Linked DNA regions of Schizosaccharomyces pombe. The protein of the gene in region 1 interacts with the protein of each later gene in a pairwise test. Each region holds a gene or a part of one and is shown on either strand. Other genes may lie near its edges. The genes, in order: SPOM_SPAC3G6.07, sen15, pop5 and nce103.

Region 1 (3,849 bases):
ACAGTGCTACTATTAGGTTGTTGAGCAACATTTCGAAAGGAAGAAAATATGTTACATGTTTTACAAGGTCTCCCGTTTTCGTCGTAAATAATTCCTGTCTCCTTATCGCGATATCTTTTTCCAAAAACCATTTTAACTTGATTGAGAAATAAGGAACGGACAATACCAAATTTTTACCTACAAATGATTCTGTCAGTAGCATTCGACAGCCAAATATGTATGATGCTCAATTTACAAGTTAAATTCATCTACTTTTAACCAAATAATTATATAACGTAGTACTTCAGCGCCGTTGATTACTAACAAAGGCATTTGAAAACACCACTGTTAAATATGGAACTGTTGCGAATTTCGCTGTTTTTCTTGTCCAAAGGCTTATGGCTTAAAATCGTATTTATTAAAACTTGTAATAAGCTAATTTGAGTTGTCTAGATGTAAACATTTATCACGTAAAACTAGTCCTTTAATAAATTGAAGATTTGAACTATAAAGCGTACTGTGTGAAATTAGGAAAGTATTATAAGTTTATCGCATAAAAGTTTGAAAACCATACCTAATTTTAGGAGCCAACCCTGAATTTATTTTTTTTTTTATTCTTATTTTTTTTTTTGTAAGACTAAACATAATACATTCAAACCTAGTGCATCAATAATCGAGAATAAAACTCGAATAACATTTTGAACCCTTTTTGCAATGAACAAGATTCATTCTTTGTAATCAAATGTAAATTCGAAAAGTAATGTAATATTAAGGAATGTTTCCTTAACTCGATTTGGGATCAACAAATAGAGGTTCAACTTTGATTATATCACTGTGCATACTATAACATGTATTTTTTTAAGTTTGTTTTTTCAAAAGGTTACAGATCGATTTACTAAGCTACAAAATTCAAAAAACTTAAAAAATTCAATACTTGCAAAGCAAAGAAGCAGAAAAAAAGATCCAAAAAAAAAGGATTACATTTATTTTGTTGAATTTATTATTTTTTTTAAAAAATAAATAACTTAACTAATGAATCACTATTTAGCAATTCTCTTTAGATTTGAATCCATAAAAATCATAACAATAAGCGAAGCAATATAACTGGTATTTGCTTATAAAATGAGCGATTCATGCAAGCAGAAAGTTCTTTAAAAACAAAAGAAAACATTAAAATAGATTTAGCACTTCACTTTGGCGTTATAATATCTCCATGTTTTTTTACATGATCACGATACACTCGATATGGTAAAACCAGTGTATACTTTGGCATAACAAAATCATCTCCAACAAACGATTCATCCTCAACATATGTTTTAAGAAATTGTAACACTTCGGTTTGATCAGCTTTAGTGAGGTCGATGTATATATACAACAAATATGAAAATTGGAAAATGGTATTAGCAGTTGCTTTATAAACCACAAACGATTGGTAATATTGTCTACCTTTGTTATAATAGTCTATAACATCAGGAATAACACTGTTTTTTTCCTTTTCATTAGAGACATCTTCTCCTTCGTAATCGGCAGGTGCCAATGTTAAGTATGGCGAGCTTTGTTCAGACATTGTTCTTGCTTTCACAGGTAAATTGAGGTTGCACTGGGATATGAGTATACTGTAAGCAAGGCGCGCAGCATCTCATATAATATTCTTTCAACGAGCCGACATTAACTAGAATTTGCCAACGTAAGATCAGAATGACGTTTTGATCCGCACGAAATACGTCGGTAAAGGAACCTTATTAGTAGAATATTGCAATATTGTTCGTTGTCTGCATACTACACAAGCGATACCATAAACTGGTTACGATTATATTTTCGACGATTCAGTAGCAGATATGGCGAGTTTCAAATAATACTCTCTTGGTAAAATGCCTATTATCCAACATTGTTCCATGAATCAAGGCTATTGTTCTATTAAAAATATTACGTTGAGCAATTCAAGCGGCTTTCTCACTACGGTATCTCAGTACCGTAAAACCACTGGTTTATTCTCATAAAAACAACCTTATGTTACACAGACTTACATCTAGCCAAGTCAATAGGGTTTCGGTAAAGTTCCAATGTACTTTTCATCCTATTCCTTATCCGGAAAAAGGAATCGATCATTTTTCCAGAATTTCTGATGGTACATTACCTTTTCGAGATCTTTTCGTGGTAGTAAACTGCGAGGTGATTTACATTTTACAGCCGTGCTGCCACCAAAACCACAAGAACCTCAATTTGGTAATCTTAAAATTTCTAATTTGTTCCTTCTAGAAATCCTTTTTTAAAAGCTATAATACATGGGAATTTTCAGTATAAATTGGCTGGTCCCTTTCCTTGTATTTACATTCTTTGGTCGATCATTCTTTATGGAAAAGTAACATGTGATTTACTGAATCGACTCTTTGACGTGGATACTACTGCTGGTAGCTAAGAACCTTTGTGTGAGTGAGCAAAGTAAAAACTGCTCGATTTTGAGGAGTATAATACATCTAGCAAAAATTGAAAATTTAATAAGAAGCTCTAAGCTAGTTTTGGAGAAAGCGTTGTTCGGGATCTCGTAATATACATAAATAAGTATATTTGCTAAACGATGGGAATTAAAGGTATGTTACATTTAACGCTAAAGAGTTTATCTTTTACTCTCTCCTTTACTTAAAACTAATCTGGGTTAGGTTTGGCTCAAGTACTAAGCGAGCATGCCCCAGCCAGTGTCAAACATAATGATATTAAAAATTATTTTGGACGGAAAGTGGCTATAGATGCGTAAGTTGAAAGACTAAATAGAAAGCGAAAGTCTCAGTTGACTTGGCAAAGACTGTATGGCTTCTGATTTTGTTTGTAAATATGGGTTAAACACTATGGTGTACAGTTTTTATTGCTAAAGAGCAAAGCTCTATGTCTTAACTCGAGACAAAGATATGATACAAACGAAATATAGAATAAAGGATGAATAAATTTTCACTAACAGTGACTCGGTTAAATTCATTGCTCAAGGTATTTTACATCATTTCTTTACTTTGTTGGTTCTTGAAGTTGCAAACACTAATAGGTCAAACTCTATTCAACTGATTCTTTCCTTTTCGAAGGGTTGATTTATAAAGTCTTCTTGAGGTACTTTATTAATGCTAATTTCGTATATTACAGGTCAATGAGTCTTTATCAATTTTTAATTCAAGTTCGCAGTCAAGATGGTCAACAGCTAATGAATGAACAAGGCGAGACTACTAGTCATTTAATGGGAATGTTTTATCGTACACTCCGAATTGTCGATAATGGAATAAAGCCTTGCTTTGTCTTTGATGGAAAACCACCAACATTGAAGTCAGGGGAATTAGCTAAACGTGTGGCCCGACATCAAAAAGCACGAGAGGATCAAGAGGAGACAAAAGAGGTTGGTACAGCTGAAATGGTGGATCGGTTTGCCAAACGTACGGTCAAAGTTACTCGGCAACATAATGACGAAGCAAAACGTTTACTAGAGTTAATGGGAATTCCCTTCGTTAACGCACCCTGTGAAGCAGAAGCTCAATGTGCCGCTTTAGCCCGTTCAGGAAAAGTTTATGCTGCTGCTTCTGAGGACATGGACACATTGTGCTTCCAAGCTCCTGTACTTTTGAGACACCTGACATTTAGTGAGCAAAGAAAGGAACCAATTAGTGAGTATAACATAGAAAAAGCATTGAATGGTTTAGATATGTCGGTGGAGCAGTTTGTAGACTTGTGTATTCTTTTGGGTTGTGACTATTGTGAACCTATTCGGGGAGTTGGCCCCGCTAGAGCCGTCGAGTTAATTAGGCAATACGGGACTCTCGATCGCTTTGTCAAAGAGGCGGATCGATCAAAATATCCTATTCCGGAAGATTGGCCTTATGAAGATGCCAG
Region 2 (4,377 bases), 2.0 Mb from region 1:
GTTTTACGAACTTTTACTTTCCATACTACCAATTGTATTTACCTGGTTGAATGGATTCTCTGTAAATGAACCCAACAATGTATATGTGATTCTTAATGAACCTCAAAGCTCCAATTTGAGTGCTTCTTTTCTGATGTTTACCGCGTACGGTGCCATTTGAGATGTACTTTCTAATTCTGTTTTCTAGTAATGCTGAACTTGGGGAAGTGTTGCGCACGATGCGTAGCGTAGAGGATAGATTTAATAAGAGGTTTCATTATCCTTGGACGTTTTACGGCATGGATGAGTTTACGGAATACTTTATGAGTACGACAAGCACGATTGCGTCTGGTCATTGTGAATACGGTACGAAGGGAATAACTTATACCAATCATTTACAATTTATTCTAACTATCTCTTACTTAGTGCATTGGGATCTTTCTCAAGTAAAACCCCTAGTTGAAAACAATCGACTTTATCAACAACGAGCAGATGCACTTGCTCAAGAGAATCTATCTTACGTATACTCTCCTTTGTTTCACAGTTTTCAAGATTGGGTAGTTCGATCTTTATTATATCATCCTCAATTGGAATACGATTATGTTTGGAGAATAGAACCCGGGCTCAAATTGGTTTGTGAAGAAAAAAAGTAAGAAACTCGGTAAAACTTGTTTATTTCGTTCTTCTTTTTCAGGAAACCTAACTAATATTTTTGTTCAGAGATATATTTTCTACTTTCAAAGACAGCGACATTGTATTTACAAACCACGTCTGTGAACGTAAACACTCTGGTATATATGCTATGGAAGAGGCAATTGAAGAATACAAAATTTTAAACACTCAAGGAGATTTCAGCAATATCTGGGTTTATAGTAACAACTACACCTATTGTAAATACTGGCCTTTTAATGAAATTTTATCTCTAAAGCAAATTCGGCATAATCAGACCTACACCAACCTAATTAATTACTTGCTTGGTTCAGGAGGAACATATTATCATCGCTGGAGTAAGTAAATTGCTTCTTCAATTTTGGAAATGACTTTATTTAACCTGTTTCTAATATAAATGCTTCACGTTGTACTTTTTGCTGACATTTATTTAGCCGAGTCTGATATCCTTTCAGCAGCATTTGGTGTTTTAAGAGCGCGTGCTAATCATATGGAATCAGTGGGATTTTTCTTAAACGATGATGTTCATTATTGCCCAGAAACTATTCCATACACAGGAAGATGTGCATGTTTGTGATATTAATTGATGAATGAGCTTTACAGAAAATTTTTGTTCATACGAATTTGTTTTATGAAAGTTATTGTAATATGTGCATTTTCATTTACAAACGTTGAGACACTTGAAGTGAAAAATTAATCTGGTAGTGGTAAAATTATAGCGTTGTCTTTCCGTTTTTCAATCCTAATCAATAAATATGTATATATCATGTGTTTATTCTTCATCATTTTGCCTTGGTTTTATAAGTCCATCGGTGATCTTGTAATATACTATCGTTGAGTCAGAACACATGATTCCCAGGTATAGGAAAAACTCATCTCCAGAAAGACCTCGAGCATCCTTTACAAGTGGAAGGCTCAGTTTCTTCATAGAATCGAAAACAGAGGACAGAAACTCGATCGAAATTGTCTCTTGGAGGTAAAGCGGCAGAACATATTGCAATTTGTCTTTGAGCTGTCCATTTACGGGAATCCCTGAGAGTAAAGGCCTTTTTGTTTTTAAGTCAATATCAAGAACATGTACCTTTAATTCACACCAACGTTGACCGAGCCTTAAGTCGGTTTCCACTGCTCTCAGTATTCCATAGTATGGATTTTGCTTTTGCTCTTCTACAGCATCGTTAGGGAGAAATGTATTATGTTGCATGTGTATTTGTTTATAATAAATATATCTTTACTTTTGAGAAGGAAAATTTTGTTGAAAAAATGAATTATCGCCTCCGTGATAAAACTTTTAACTTCAACCAAATGGCACAGAAAAGGAACAAGCAGTCAAAAAAGCCTAAACAGACTTCAAAAGGAGTTAAGAAATCCTCAAAACAAAACAAAAACTCCTCTAAAAACAACAAATACCAACAAAACGTCCTTTTACAGAGTATTGATGATTACAACACTACGCAGAGCGTACTAAGAAGTGCTCATAATAGCGGTTCGAAGATGAGCGATATATCCAATTCGATCCAGCTTCTTTCCATGACCAAAAAGCAGGAGAATTAATTCCTGAGCTATTTTCGTTTCATGGTTCATTTCGCAGTTTTGGCATTGGCCATTGTCTGAACTTATAATGTTTTTACTGGGTTTCGGGTTTACTTTTAAAATTTTCTTGTTTTTATTTTGCATACTTAATTTTTATGAAATTTTATTTTATTATACTTGTATTATTTGTAAATAATTGTGGTTTGTATCTAATTGTGTTAGTAGTAGTTTCTGATTTTTTACAATAAGAACGCACAAATCCTATTCCTAGAACTACATTCCACCTGCCCTCAACCTAAACCTACTGTTGGGTCATAGAATCGAAGTCGAACGTAGTGTTTGAATTTTTTAACTATCACTTCGTTTACATAATACATTTGTGTAAAAATTGAAGGGTTTCTAACTTTTTGACTAAGGGAGATACCTAAATTTTGGAAAGAATTGTTTATTAGAAAACTGCTTCATTTTTTTTGTATAATCAGGCCTAAAAAGAAAAAAAAATCTTTTTTCCTCACTAATATCTTTACTTAGTTAGCATTATGTCTGCTCAAAAGTTGAATTTGGAGGATGTTAATGCTTCTACAAAAAAATATTCTAGAGGGCGCAAGCTGAATCCAAAGAAAATCAAGGATAAAAAGCTTCGAAGCAATATTCAGAAAATCGAGGAGAGAATTGAGAATGTTGAGTCTTCCTTGGCGAAAACCGAAATCTTACATGAAGATAATCCCGGTCTTTTGGAAGCCGAGGGCCTTGAAAGGACATACAAGTTTCGTCAAGATCAACTGGCTCCTAATGTTGCACTTGAGACGGCTACAAAGTCTTTCTCCTTGGATTTGGATAAGTTTGGTGGTTACTCATTTGATTATACAAGAGATGGAAGAATGATTTTATTAGGTGGAAGAAAAGGTCATATTTCCGCGTTTGACTGGCGTACTGGTAAATTACTCACAGAGCTACATTTAAGAGAGACCGTTCGAGATGTTAAATGGTTTCATAACCATCAATATTTTGCTGTTGCACAAAAGAAGTATGTTTACGTTTACGATAATATGGGAACAGAAATTCACTGTTTGAAGCGGCATATCGAAGTGAATGCTCTAGATTTTTTGCCATATCACTTACTATTGACCAGTATTGGCAATGCTGGCTATTTGAAATACCAAGATGTCTCTACTGGACAATTGGTTGCAGAACACCGTACCGGAATGGGTGCTAGCCATGTATTACATCAAAATCCCCATAACGCTGTTGAACATGTTGGTCATGCAAATGGCCAGGTTACCCTCTGGTCTCCATCTTCAACTACACCTCTTGTCAAAATGCTTACTCATCGCGGGCCTGTACGTGATTTGGCAGTAAATCGTGATGGCAGATATATGGTTACCGCTGGTGCCGATAGTTTACTGAAAGTTTGGGACCTTCGAACTTACAAAGAGCTTCACTCCTATTACACCCCTACACCTGCTCAGCGCTTAACCCTCAGTGACCGGGGATTGCTAGCCGTTGGATGGGGACCACATGCTACGATTTGGAAAGATGCCTTACGAACTAAACAAAATTTTCCATACATGAATCATCTGCTTCCCTCTTCATCCGTTGTTGATCTTCATTATTGTCCGTATGAGGATATTTTAGGTATCGGACATGCAAAGGGATTCGAAAGCATCATTGTTCCTGGATCTGGTGAACCCAATTATGATTCATATGAAAACGATCCTTTTGCTTCTCGAAAACAACGTCAAGAAACTGAAGTTCGCCAACTTTTGGAGAAGCTTCGCCCAGAAATGATTTCTTTGAATGCTGATTTTATCGGTAATGTTGATAGAGCTGCACCGTCGCTTCGAAAGGCTGAAGCCGAGGAAGAAAAGCCGCCTGAAGAAAAATGGGTACCAAAGGCAAAAGCCCGTGGTAAAAACTCTGCTTTACGAAGATATTTACGCAAACATGCCAGAAACGTTGTTGACCAACGTCGTCTCAAAGTTGAAAAATCTTTAGAGATAGAGAAAAAAATGCGTGCTCAGCGTGTTCGTCGCGAGCAAAAACTTCCAGAGGAACGGGAAAAATGGGGATATGCTTTATCAAGATTTGTTTCCAAAAAATAATTCGGTTGTGTATAATACTTGGGCTAATAATAAGAATATTTGCATTAGATTTTGCCAATTACATATGACTATGTGATGTATAAGGTATTTAGGG
Region 3 (5,638 bases), on another chromosome or scaffold:
TACCCTCAAATAAGTGGATAGGTTTTCCAGGGCCCTTAGTGTATCCAAAGGTACACCCAGCTTGTGCTTCTTTCGTATCAAATGCACTGACCATGCGATAAAGTCCTTATACTAGTTAGCTATGGGATCCGTTCAATAGTACATACCATCAGGACCCACACTATTCAAAAACCATTTCCTACTTTTGTTAACTTTTATAAAATTCACAATCTGCATTCACATACACATAAGGACCAGGGAGTCCATTCATTGCCTTATAGCCTAGCCATGTGTCCTCGACTAAAACAGGTCCTTTAACCTATTAGCGTTAGAAGGTTGCTCCGATAAAATGAAGAATGACAAAGAGAAGTAAAAACAAGATTCAATCGAATAACCATTGCGATAATAATTCGTTGCATTGATCAGCATAATCCTAAACCATCATTTGAACTTACAATTTCAGCGGCAGCTTTACATTTTTCTAAAACAACTTCCTTGACGCTTCCTTGGATTTCCGGTACTTTAAAACATCATGTTAGCGATAATTTGCTGTCGAGAAAATTGAATAGCTGCATACAATCGTAATCATGGTTTTTGATTTCAAATCGGTCACCAAGGATATTCTTTACATCTGCCAGTTTATGTTTATTTCCTGTGACGAATAAAATAGACTGTAGTACTATGGGACAGCAATCTTGTTAGTTATCATTCCGCTGAAAAATATTGAAGATGCAGATACCGCACATTAATTAATTATGAAGAATCCTTCCAAAATTGACTTACTTGTCATCTTGATATCCTGTCGTTTTTAGAGTATACTATATTCTATAACAATTAACGACTCTTAACAGCTGTTGAAATTGGTGAAAAGGTAAGTTGCTTCTTATACATTGGTTCATCGTATGTGTCCTCAAATATTTTTTATAAGAATAAACTCATAAAAAATATACTATATACGCTTATATATTGTTATTTTACTAAAGCGCGCGATCTTGGAAAATTGTCAATTTACCATGTAAGACAATAAATGAGTTGTACAACAAATGCGTAAATCAAAAGTATTAGGAAAAAGGTTGGTTTACGTAAAAACAATAGCTGAAAGATTTTTTAGTCTTAAAAAAATAACCAATCTTTTAAAATTTTGGAGCAAAATATACACCAAATTTAGTAAACATGTAAGCGAACTCTCTTCACAAGTAAATGCAAGCAACTCTTGACATTTGTATACCACCTGCTTAAATCGTTAACAAAAAAATTTTTATATTCTTCTACTTAATACAAACCAACATGACCTAAAAAGTGCGTTGAGTTACACGAACCTTTGGAAATTTACGTATCATCGAAAATTCATAGCTATGAATTCGAAATAATTATTAATAATTATTTATTCCCAAAGATCTGGGAAAATTAAAAAAGCTTTCTCAAATTGCAACTTATTAATTTTTATTAATTCCAATTTTAATTGAATTTACATATATTTTTTATTTTCATTTGAGTTGAAAAGTCTTTCCTTTTCAATCCTGCAGTATTTCAAAAATTATTACTCTTAATTTAAATTTTTTTTATCTACCCATGTTTTATTAATATTACATTCTTTACCTACATCCTTTTTATTATGAAGGCCAAAAAAAGTTTACTAAAGTTCCATTTTTTATAGATCATCATACCTATATGAATAAAGATTACATTTCATCAGAATAAATTTAAATTTAATCAATGTTATCCTTTGACTACTAACTACGATAATTATCCCATTGTATATTAATCAGTAGAATGGGAGGAATGCTTTACAACTTCTTCCCATGACAAATTCATATATCAATTGAAGCTAATATTCATGGTCATATATAAAGCAATATCAAGTAGATACAGGGTAACGTTTTCTACTGAATAATCGAGGTGTTAATGCTCTGACTTAGTTCATGATTCCACTGAATGTACGAATGATTTCATTGATTTGTATATTCTGACTGTTCAGGGATAGATACATGCAAGGAACCAAACGATTAATAAAAAAATAATCATTTTATTTAAAATTTATTCATTTTCTGAGGATGTTGAAATTGTTTCTGATAGACCTCTATAACTGTTTGTTCCAAAGGGATTTAAAGTTAAAAAATGAATGTTTACTGTGTCGTAAGCATGATTATCGTGCATTTAGAATTTGCATGTCTTCTAGTCTAATTATAACCAAATACCATTTACTTAATCTTAAACAAATTATCTACCGCTATGGCAATGTAGCAAAAGCAATTAAACATATTGAAATTTACGACTAATTCTAATCGTTCATTGTAAACACCTGTTAGATAATATGATTTTTTCTTTAAATTTCTATTCCATTAAATCTTAAAAGCAATAAATTATAACACAGACGTCTCTATAAACTGTTTTCTGAGAAATTTATTCGTTGAGCAAGTTACATTTCTCTAACCGGTGTGCAATAAGTAGCAACGTTCATACCCACTACGATCCATTTTTGGGCAATTCCATTTCCAGCATTATTTATTCTTGTTATAGCATAACGATAATTTATTATTATTATTTGTCTCAAAGGTCATATTTCAATCAAAATCGCTGATTAAACTACAAAAAATATATATATCGTAAAACTATGGTTCGCTTCAAATCCCGATATTTACTTTTTGAAGTATTATATCCTGAAGCAAAAGAGTTTTTTGACTATCCTACTATCCCTTCTGATAGTTCTATAACTACGTCTAGTCTTTCTAAAATAATTAGAACCATGGTTGCAGAAAATTTCGGTGATGTTGGTATTGGAAAGGTTGCATCTAGTCTAACTGTAAAATATTTTTCACCTAATACATCTACTGGCATTCTGCGGGTCTCAAGACAGCATTTTCGTTTGGCATGGGCCGCATTAGTTTTAATAAGGGAATTATATGGCAAGCCTGTAATAATTCGCGTGGTTCGTGTATCTGGTACAATAAAAAAGGCAGAATTAGCTGCCATTGAACGAAATAAATCAGAAATTCATAACATCTCTCTGATGGATGAACCTATTGAAGTTTAAACCCTCCATCTTTGGCATTTGCTGGGTTCGCAAGTTTTTACTTTGACTTCACCTCTAAAGATCGAACTCAAGACGAAATTTTTTTTATGCCTTCATGTGCTTCAAACTTATATATTGATTCCTTGGTTTCGTTCCAAAACCCAATTGATGCAGTGTGTGCAGAAAGTTGCTGCTGTATCCACCTTATTTCTCATGGGTATATTCATATAAAACTTTAATTCATTAATCCAGAGAGGAGGCATATGTTTACCCATAGCTGTTTAGATTTTGAAATTGAGGATCTGGGAAGATCTAAATAACAAGTATGCTGCATTTCCATTGCCAAGTATGAGTAAACTCTTTAAACTATACAACTATTCAATCGCCAAAAAAAAATTTGATGAACTTGGAGCTATTAAGTTAATACTTTTCTCTTGGAAAATGAGATATCGTCTGTTTTGGGAATACCTTGTTTACTATTTTCATTGTATCATCTGTTAAGCTTGACAACGGCCAAAAAGAGTTGTATCTACGAATGCATACTTTTGCCCATAAAAAAATAAACATTTACGTATTGGAATGAAAAAAATCATTGCAGGTCTCAGTAAACATCTCATGAATGTGTTTTCTTCGTGGGAAGGTACATCCTTAATATATCCCAATGATTCTAAATTTCCAGCAATCGTTATCAATTTTATTTTTTACAGACAAACGAATAATTTATTTAGCTGTTGACGGATGCTATAATTCTATGTCGTTAAAGACTGTATACACTTTACAGTTTGAAAAGTTTGCTTGACATTTACCGGTGCTTCTACAAGGTCTAAAGTAAGAAAGATAAACCAAAACTATTGTCATTACAACAGTTAACAGTAGCCAAAGACAGCTATAATCCCAACAAACATATAAAAATTCCTTAAATTAGGGGATTTTCTCAAGTAACGATTTTAAAAACCAGATAACAATCCTACTGAGTCAAAGAAGCAACCATATCCTTATAACGAAAACATCAGAAATTACTCAAATGATTAACAATATCAATAAACTAATCTATCAATTATTTTCGATGAACATTACTTCTTCTTATCCTTGATTAACAGCTATGTATGCTATTTTATGATATCTTCTCTTGAAAACCCCAAAAAAACAGTCACATTAAGAAGAATATAAAGGGCACTGTGCTTTCTGCTTTTGCATAGTTCTTTCACCTGGAGTGTGCTCATCTAAATAGTAAATAGGTAAGTTTCATCATTTCACAAATGGAGATTTCAGAGGATGCGAAATATATACCCAAATTGTATAGCAAGGATAACGGGGTAATCGTTTTGGTTGCCTTCTTGCAGTGATAAAGCATTTTGTCATAGTTACACTGATGAAATTCTTCATTTGCTTAAAACTTTTTGGTCTTAAGTTTGAAAATTCTTTACTAATTTTGAAATAGATAAAAGAAGCCGTTTTTAACAGTTAGACACCATCCTATTCTTGAGATGGTTTTTTTATTCGATCCACGAGTTTTTGATAATTACCGATACTATAAATTTAATAAGAAATTAAAAATTTACTTTATTAAGTCAAAACTTGTTTACATTTAGTAGTAATTTAATTACAATTGAAAGAGTAATGTTGGTAGTGATATATATCTATGCAGACTTGTATGTAATGTAGACATTCTTTAAATCAGAGAACCGTAAAGTTCGGTTGTCCTCCTTAACTTTAGATAATGCAACCGTACATATTTTGCAGGGCTTGACTTTAGCGAACTGCATAGTCCAGTTGTTCATGGTTTGGTTAAAACAATACAACGTAGCATACTGTGGAAGTAAATCGCTCATTTTTGCTATGGTTTTTTTACTGTTAAATGCTTTGGTAATGAAGTAAATAAACTTAGACAGAAACACAAGATGACTGTTTGATCGGCTGAAAATACATACGGCAATTCTTTTGAAAATCGGATTGTATTTGTACTATACAGTATCGTATTTACTGCGACTTTCCTATGCACTAATTAATATACCACACTGACGGTACGAAGCGAATGCCTGTAATCGTGACGTTGTTCACTACCACCGATAGAATAAATGCAAACTTATCTTTAGCAAACAACTCCCATATTCTAAGACAAATAGTTCGTTCAAAAGAAAAATTATTGAACACTCAGATAATTTAATTAAGCAGTACCAAAATGTCTTTTCAAGTTCGTGTTAAGCAGAATATGCAAGATTTGGATAACAGGGTATGTTAGCAATAAGGCAGGATATCCGATGGAAGCCGCTTTACGCACTCGGCAATATAGGCTATTATTAGTATCTTGTGATTTTAGAAATTATTCTTTCTATTCAAATTTGTTTACTAACTTTTTTTTCCAGTTGGCAGCCTTTCCTCAACTCAACAGTTTGGAAAAAAATTTTGGTGTTAGCAAGCTTTATGTTTTTCTTACTGCAGCTGGTATATATGCCTTGTTCCTTTTCTTGAACTGGGGTGGATTTTTACTGACCAACCTTCTGGCATTCGCGATGCCTGCCTTCTTTAGTATCAATGCTATTGAAACTACTAACAAGGCCGATGACACTCAATGGTTGACCTATTATTTGGTAACTTCATTCCTCAACGTTATTGAGTACTGGTCTCAGCTAATCCTTTACTATG
Region 4 (4,856 bases), on another chromosome or scaffold:
AAACCCCTGAGCAAACTGTAATCAGTTTTATTGACGTTCAATGTGTGAAAGTTACTGAAGCGACAAAGACTTTGGAGTTGTCTGTAATACTTTCAGAAAGACTCGTTTATGAAACTGCATTAAAATTACCGGTGATTAAATATGTTAAGGGTGATAACAGATTCTGTTTTAAACAATTATTGGAGTATTATGATATTTATTTAAAGTTCAAACTTTTAGCAGACTGGCGACTGCTTACAAATCCTGTACTCCAAATTCAAGAAATCTCTGATTACTGCCATTTCAAACTTCTGAAAAAGGTTAATAGGAATTTGCAAATTAAAACTAATTATCCTACCCAGGAGTTTCATTTATTGCGTCCAACAATTAAAATACTACAAATAAGCAAGCATGAATATTTTTTGCATTTTTCTTCTTCCTATATATTTAATGACGCCAGGGAAAGGGATGTATATGGGGTAAAACTATCAAAAAATATGTGGATTTCCTGGGCTTATGTGGATAATTGTGAAGCTAATTTTTTTTGCAAGGATGGCACATATTTTTTTCGAACTACTTCGAGAAAACAAATACTTTTATTGGAGATAGGAATATTAATTAAACCCGAACGCTATAATTTATTTAAATATCGTGTTTATCTTCCCCAATTTTTACCGCCCACCGATTCACGTACACTGGTTGAATTTCAAACCATTGTATACACAAACAGTACATTATTATTCGATGGTTCATTTTATTTTAGTCAAAATGGAGGCTTCGATTTTGAACCTAGACAAAACTACACTTATTTTGATTTCAAAAGCGAATTTATAATCCTTCAAAATAGTTATAGTATATATGGACCCGCGAAAAATATAATAAAGCTACTGCTTGAGCTAATTGAGGTTATCTTGAATGTTAATGTAAGCACAACGGCCATGTGTTTGTTGACTCTTTTGATAGGAATTTATCTAATATTACAAGTTGTTTTTATTTACACGAATTAACACAGTCAATGAAACTATATTTACTATTGCTATATCGATTTTCATCTAAGGTATCGTCCGTCTTGTCAATCATTATATAACTAATTCAAGACACGGCGACAAATGCGCAGTTCGTTCGATATGCCATACTTCATCAAAAGGTATAAACTTATTACAAAACTTTTAAATACTTGAACCAATCGGAGATAGTAAAAATCTAAACAAAAAAAACAAACAGAAAAACTCACATAAATCAATCGTAACCAAGTCGAGGTTGAGAAAACTTCCAGTGAAATTAACTATCATAAGTACCGTATTTGGCCTTTTTGATGGCGTCCGTGATATCCAATTTTTTGATTTGACCATTGGAAAGATCGTAAATCCAGCCATGAACTTGTAAGCCACGCTTTTCCATTGCTTCACGAACAAAGCCAACCCGGGTTACAGAAATTGCTTGAGCACGAGTATTAAGTTCGGCAAGTTTAAGGCGACGAAGTTGGGGATCTTCAATGGCGTCAAGTTCTTCACGATTGTCTTCGATAACATCACGGATGTGTCGCAACCAATGATCCAACAAATTGTTTAAATTAGGACCAAGAGCAGCAGCGACACCACCGCATCCATAATGGCCACAGACAATGATGTGCTTAACCTTTAATACGGTCACGGAGTACTCCATAACAGCTAAAGCATTAATGTCAGAACGAGGAACGACATTGGCAATGTTTCGATGAACGAAGACTTCACCTGGAAGTAAATTCAGAATGGTGGTCTCAGGAACACGAGAATCTGAACATCCGATCCAAAGAACTTGAGGAGTTTGAATATCTTTGGTGGCTGTAAAAAAGGATGGGTACTTTCTGCTAGTTTGTTGTGACCAAGTCAGATTGCGTTCAAGCAAATCTTTGATTTCCCCATTCTGGTCAATTTTACCAGCGCCAGAAACGGGAGAAGCGGTTGAAGCTTCTCTGTCGATTATCTCGTCTTGATGATCGATTTCCTCAATACGACGTTTCAATCTATCAGGCATTTTCTTTTTTTTATCACTTTTCTCTAACAATTGACTAGACGAAAAAAACAATCTTTTTCTTCCAAGCGATGAAAAAGATATGGATTGTAAACAACTATTATAATTACAAGGAAAACGAATGAATCTCGATGTTAACCGCGGAGCCGCTATTATCGAGTAGCTGCTACTTTTTATTTGGTTAAAGGTAGACTGGAGTATGGTTTTTGGAAGCGGAATTTTTGTAGTTGTCAAAGCACCGAATGGTGGGAGCATGATACGTTTTTATACCACACGACAAAAATGGAAACGTTTGTGATGTGAGCAAAGCTATGATGATGAACTTTGATGTATAGCTAATACTCCGATAACAAGCCGTCCCGTCCGTCGAGTAGGTAAGGTTTATTGGTTTATCTATTATATAATGTAATTTATTTTGCTAGATCTTTGCAAGGGACTACCTACGGATAGTTTTGACGGCTTCGCAGTTAACAAAAAACCGGATACGATTGGCTTAAAATTGCAAATTGTCCCAAATATGAATAAAATGTTGACAGCCATAAAGATTTCGCAACCGTGCGAAATTTTTTTTTTCTAAACACAAAATTATTGGAGAAGAATCCGTCATTTATCAATTACGAGTATATCGTCTTATCGTTATACGTGTTTTCGATTAAGTTAATCTAAAATTAAATTAAGCGATAATTAGGTTTTGTAGATTGAAACATTTGTTAACATGGGCACCGCTGACATTACTATAAAAAAAGACGAAAAAAAAACAATTGCCCATTGTTACCCATAATAGGAGGAATGAAATGAAAGTAAAGACAATTGAGAAAATTTATTCAATAGCTTATACAGCTATTTCAAGTCTCGGCCAGTAAGTTAAGCACTTGAAGTTATATTTAAACCGTCAGTTTACCAAACATTAATATGTTTGTTTCAATTCCCATTGATAAACTCAAATACGTGTATGACATTAATTATGCCTCTTTGTGCATACGGTTTTCTTACTATTATAAAAATAATTAGCACGCCCTTAACTAACAACTATTTAGGTTGATTTGAACTTGTAGAAAAAGCTTGTAAATATCGTGCTCGTCAACTAAACGAATATAACAAACCTTAGAAATCATCGCAGCATTCCACTCAAACACATACCCTAACCTAACTCGAAAACCAGTCACAAAAGTTTCGAGTCCCTTAGTGTTGTGAATGCTTAATACTTTCTGCCATCAACACGCACTGCACTCCTCGTCAAAATGAAGTACCTTGCAGCTTATTTACTCTTGACCGTTGGTGGAAAGGACTCCCCTTCCGCTTCTGATATCGAGTCTGTTTTGTCTACTGTCGGTATTGAAGCTGAATCTGAGCGCATTGAAACTTTGATCAACGAGCTTAACGGTAAGGATATCGACGAGCTCATCGCTGCTGGTAACGAGAAGCTTGCTACTGTCCCCACTGGTGGTGCTGCTTCTGCTGCTCCTGCCGCCGCTGCTGGCGGTGCTGCCCCTGCTGCTGAGGAGGCTGCTAAGGAGGAAGCCAAGGAAGAGGAGGAATCTGATGAAGACGTAAGTTAATTTTAGATAAGAAGCATTCTTTGTTTCTCAAAAGCATCTTACTAACAATTTTAGATGGGTTTCGGTCTTTTCGACTAAACCAAATGATCCCTTGTTTTCATTACGCTTTCATAAAAATAAATCGCCGTGTTGGTTTTATTTTACCAATTTTTTTTTAGTGCTCCATTCGTAATAGTATTTTTCGTTTGATAAATGTAATTTTAGCTTACTTTAAATGTTAATGTACCACTGGTGCCCCGTGTTGTTGATTTGAATATAAGAGACTTTACACTTGTAAAGCAAGTCGTTGTTTCGAGAATAATAAATTTTATTTAGTATGTTACTAGGAAGTCTTTACAAGCGGCCCATAATTTTTCTTCAAATGCTTTCAAATTGTTTTGAACATGAAGCATGCAATAGTCTTTACAAACCTCAAATATTTCTTTAATGTCATTTTCCACATTTGAACAAAATGTGGTCGAAGGATGACTTATTCTAACTGCTTGCTGTAGCCTTTGAGCCCTATCTAAAAGCCACAAAACAAAATCATCAAGGGAAATAGAATAGCGGCCCAAAATACAGTGGTGTAACCCTCCAAATGATGGTATATTCTTCAATAAAAATAACGAGTTATTGGTAGGTACAGTCTGCTGAGGTTGAGAGCTGGACGGGAACTCCATCTCCAAAGGTTTGTCATTAGGAAACATTAAATGCTTTACTTCCATAGCCACTTGCTTTCCCAAAAGCAGTAATTGATACTCATCAACCACATGAAGTGCATCCAAAAATTCATCAGCACTACTTTTCAGATATAAAGCGGCAAACGCACCATTGAAATTAGACTCATCAAGCATTCCTAGTTTAATATGATGTAAAAGATTGGACCAAGGAAAAGCGGTTTGTTTCCAACCACAGGACCATAAGTCCCTGGCCATTGCTAAATTTTTCATAAGCGATTTAGAGTTGCGAAGTCGTCCCATCCATTTTGAACCATCTGTTTCTTTTGTAGTGTGGTCGTTCTCACACCTTGGACAATAACAAGAAAAAAAATACTTTTTGAGAAGCTGTTTCTGTCTGATTGACTTTGGAAGTCGAATATCAATGTATGAGATGAAAAGCTGTTCATCTTTCTTAATATCACGTTTAGAAACAAGCTGCACAATTGCACCATCGAAAATTATTTGGCAATTTGGATCACAAGAATGATTTAAGCGACAGAGTATAGTATCTAAACACATACCCAAAGAATCGAAAGACGAAGTTACAAGATTCATAGCATTAACAGCTAGCCTACAGAAAAGTTTTTGAAACAGTTCTGCTTGATAA

What was found.
Region 2: the proteins of SPOM_SPAC3G6.07 (region 1) and sen15 interact in a two-hybrid assay, tested with the Schizosaccharomyces pombe proteins (one large-scale study listed by BioGRID).
Region 3: the proteins of SPOM_SPAC3G6.07 (region 1) and pop5 interact in a two-hybrid assay, tested with the Schizosaccharomyces pombe proteins (one large-scale study listed by BioGRID).
Region 4: the proteins of SPOM_SPAC3G6.07 (region 1) and nce103 interact in a two-hybrid assay, tested with the Schizosaccharomyces pombe proteins (one large-scale study listed by BioGRID).

What each region holds. Positions count from the first base shown.
Region 1 is NC_003424.3:5,389,970-5,393,818, reverse strand, and holds SPOM_SPAC3G6.07 (uncharacterized protein), read right to left. Parts: upstream 1,595-3,849; 5' UTR 1,547-1,594; coding exon 1,169-1,546; 3' UTR 921-1,168; downstream 1-920. Other genes in the region: erv1 (sulfhydryl oxidase), read right to left, coding at 1-131; FEN-1 endonuclease Rad2, read left to right, coding at 2,558-2,570, 2,640-2,730, 3,112-3,849.
Region 2 is NC_003424.3:3,389,734-3,394,110, reverse strand, and holds sen15 (tRNA-splicing endonuclease subunit Sen15), read right to left. Parts: upstream 1,853-4,377; coding exon 1,421-1,852; 3' UTR 1,226-1,420; coding exon of another isoform or gene 1,083-1,225; 3' UTR 1,005-1,082; downstream 1-1,004. Other genes in the region: alpha-1,2-mannosyltransferase Omh6, read left to right, coding at 162-628, 700-986, 1,083-1,225; SPOM_SPAC959.11 (uncharacterized protein), read left to right, coding at 1,837-2,202; U3 snoRNP-associated protein Utp7, read left to right, coding at 2,721-4,283. UniProt on the Schizosaccharomyces pombe protein: Non-catalytic subunit of the tRNA-splicing endonuclease complex, a complex responsible for identification and cleavage of the splice sites in pre-tRNA. It cleaves pre-tRNA at the 5' and 3' splice sites to release the intron.
Region 3 is NC_003421.2:2,196,649-2,202,286, reverse strand, and holds pop5 (Rnase P/MRP subunit Pop5), read left to right. Parts: upstream 1-2,431; 5' UTR 2,432-2,593; coding exon 2,594-3,013; 3' UTR 3,014-4,230; exon of another isoform or gene 4,231-4,433; 3' UTR 4,434-4,561; downstream 4,562-5,638. Other genes in the region: nucleoside triphosphatase Ham1, read right to left, coding at 1-105, 147-178, 225-298, 435-499, 557-658, 763-769; yop1 (ER membrane protein DP1/Yop1), read left to right, coding at 5,175-5,225, 5,359-5,638.
Region 4 is NC_003423.3:3,639,956-3,644,811, forward strand, and holds nce103 (putative carbonic anhydrase), read right to left. Parts: upstream 2,230-4,856; 5' UTR 1,996-2,229; coding exon 1,261-1,995; 3' UTR 987-1,260; downstream 1-986. Other genes in the region: protein mug45, read left to right, coding at 1-986; rpp201 (ribosomal protein P2), read left to right, coding at 3,234-3,542, 3,606-3,629; histone lysine methyltransferase Set6, read right to left, coding at 3,863-4,856.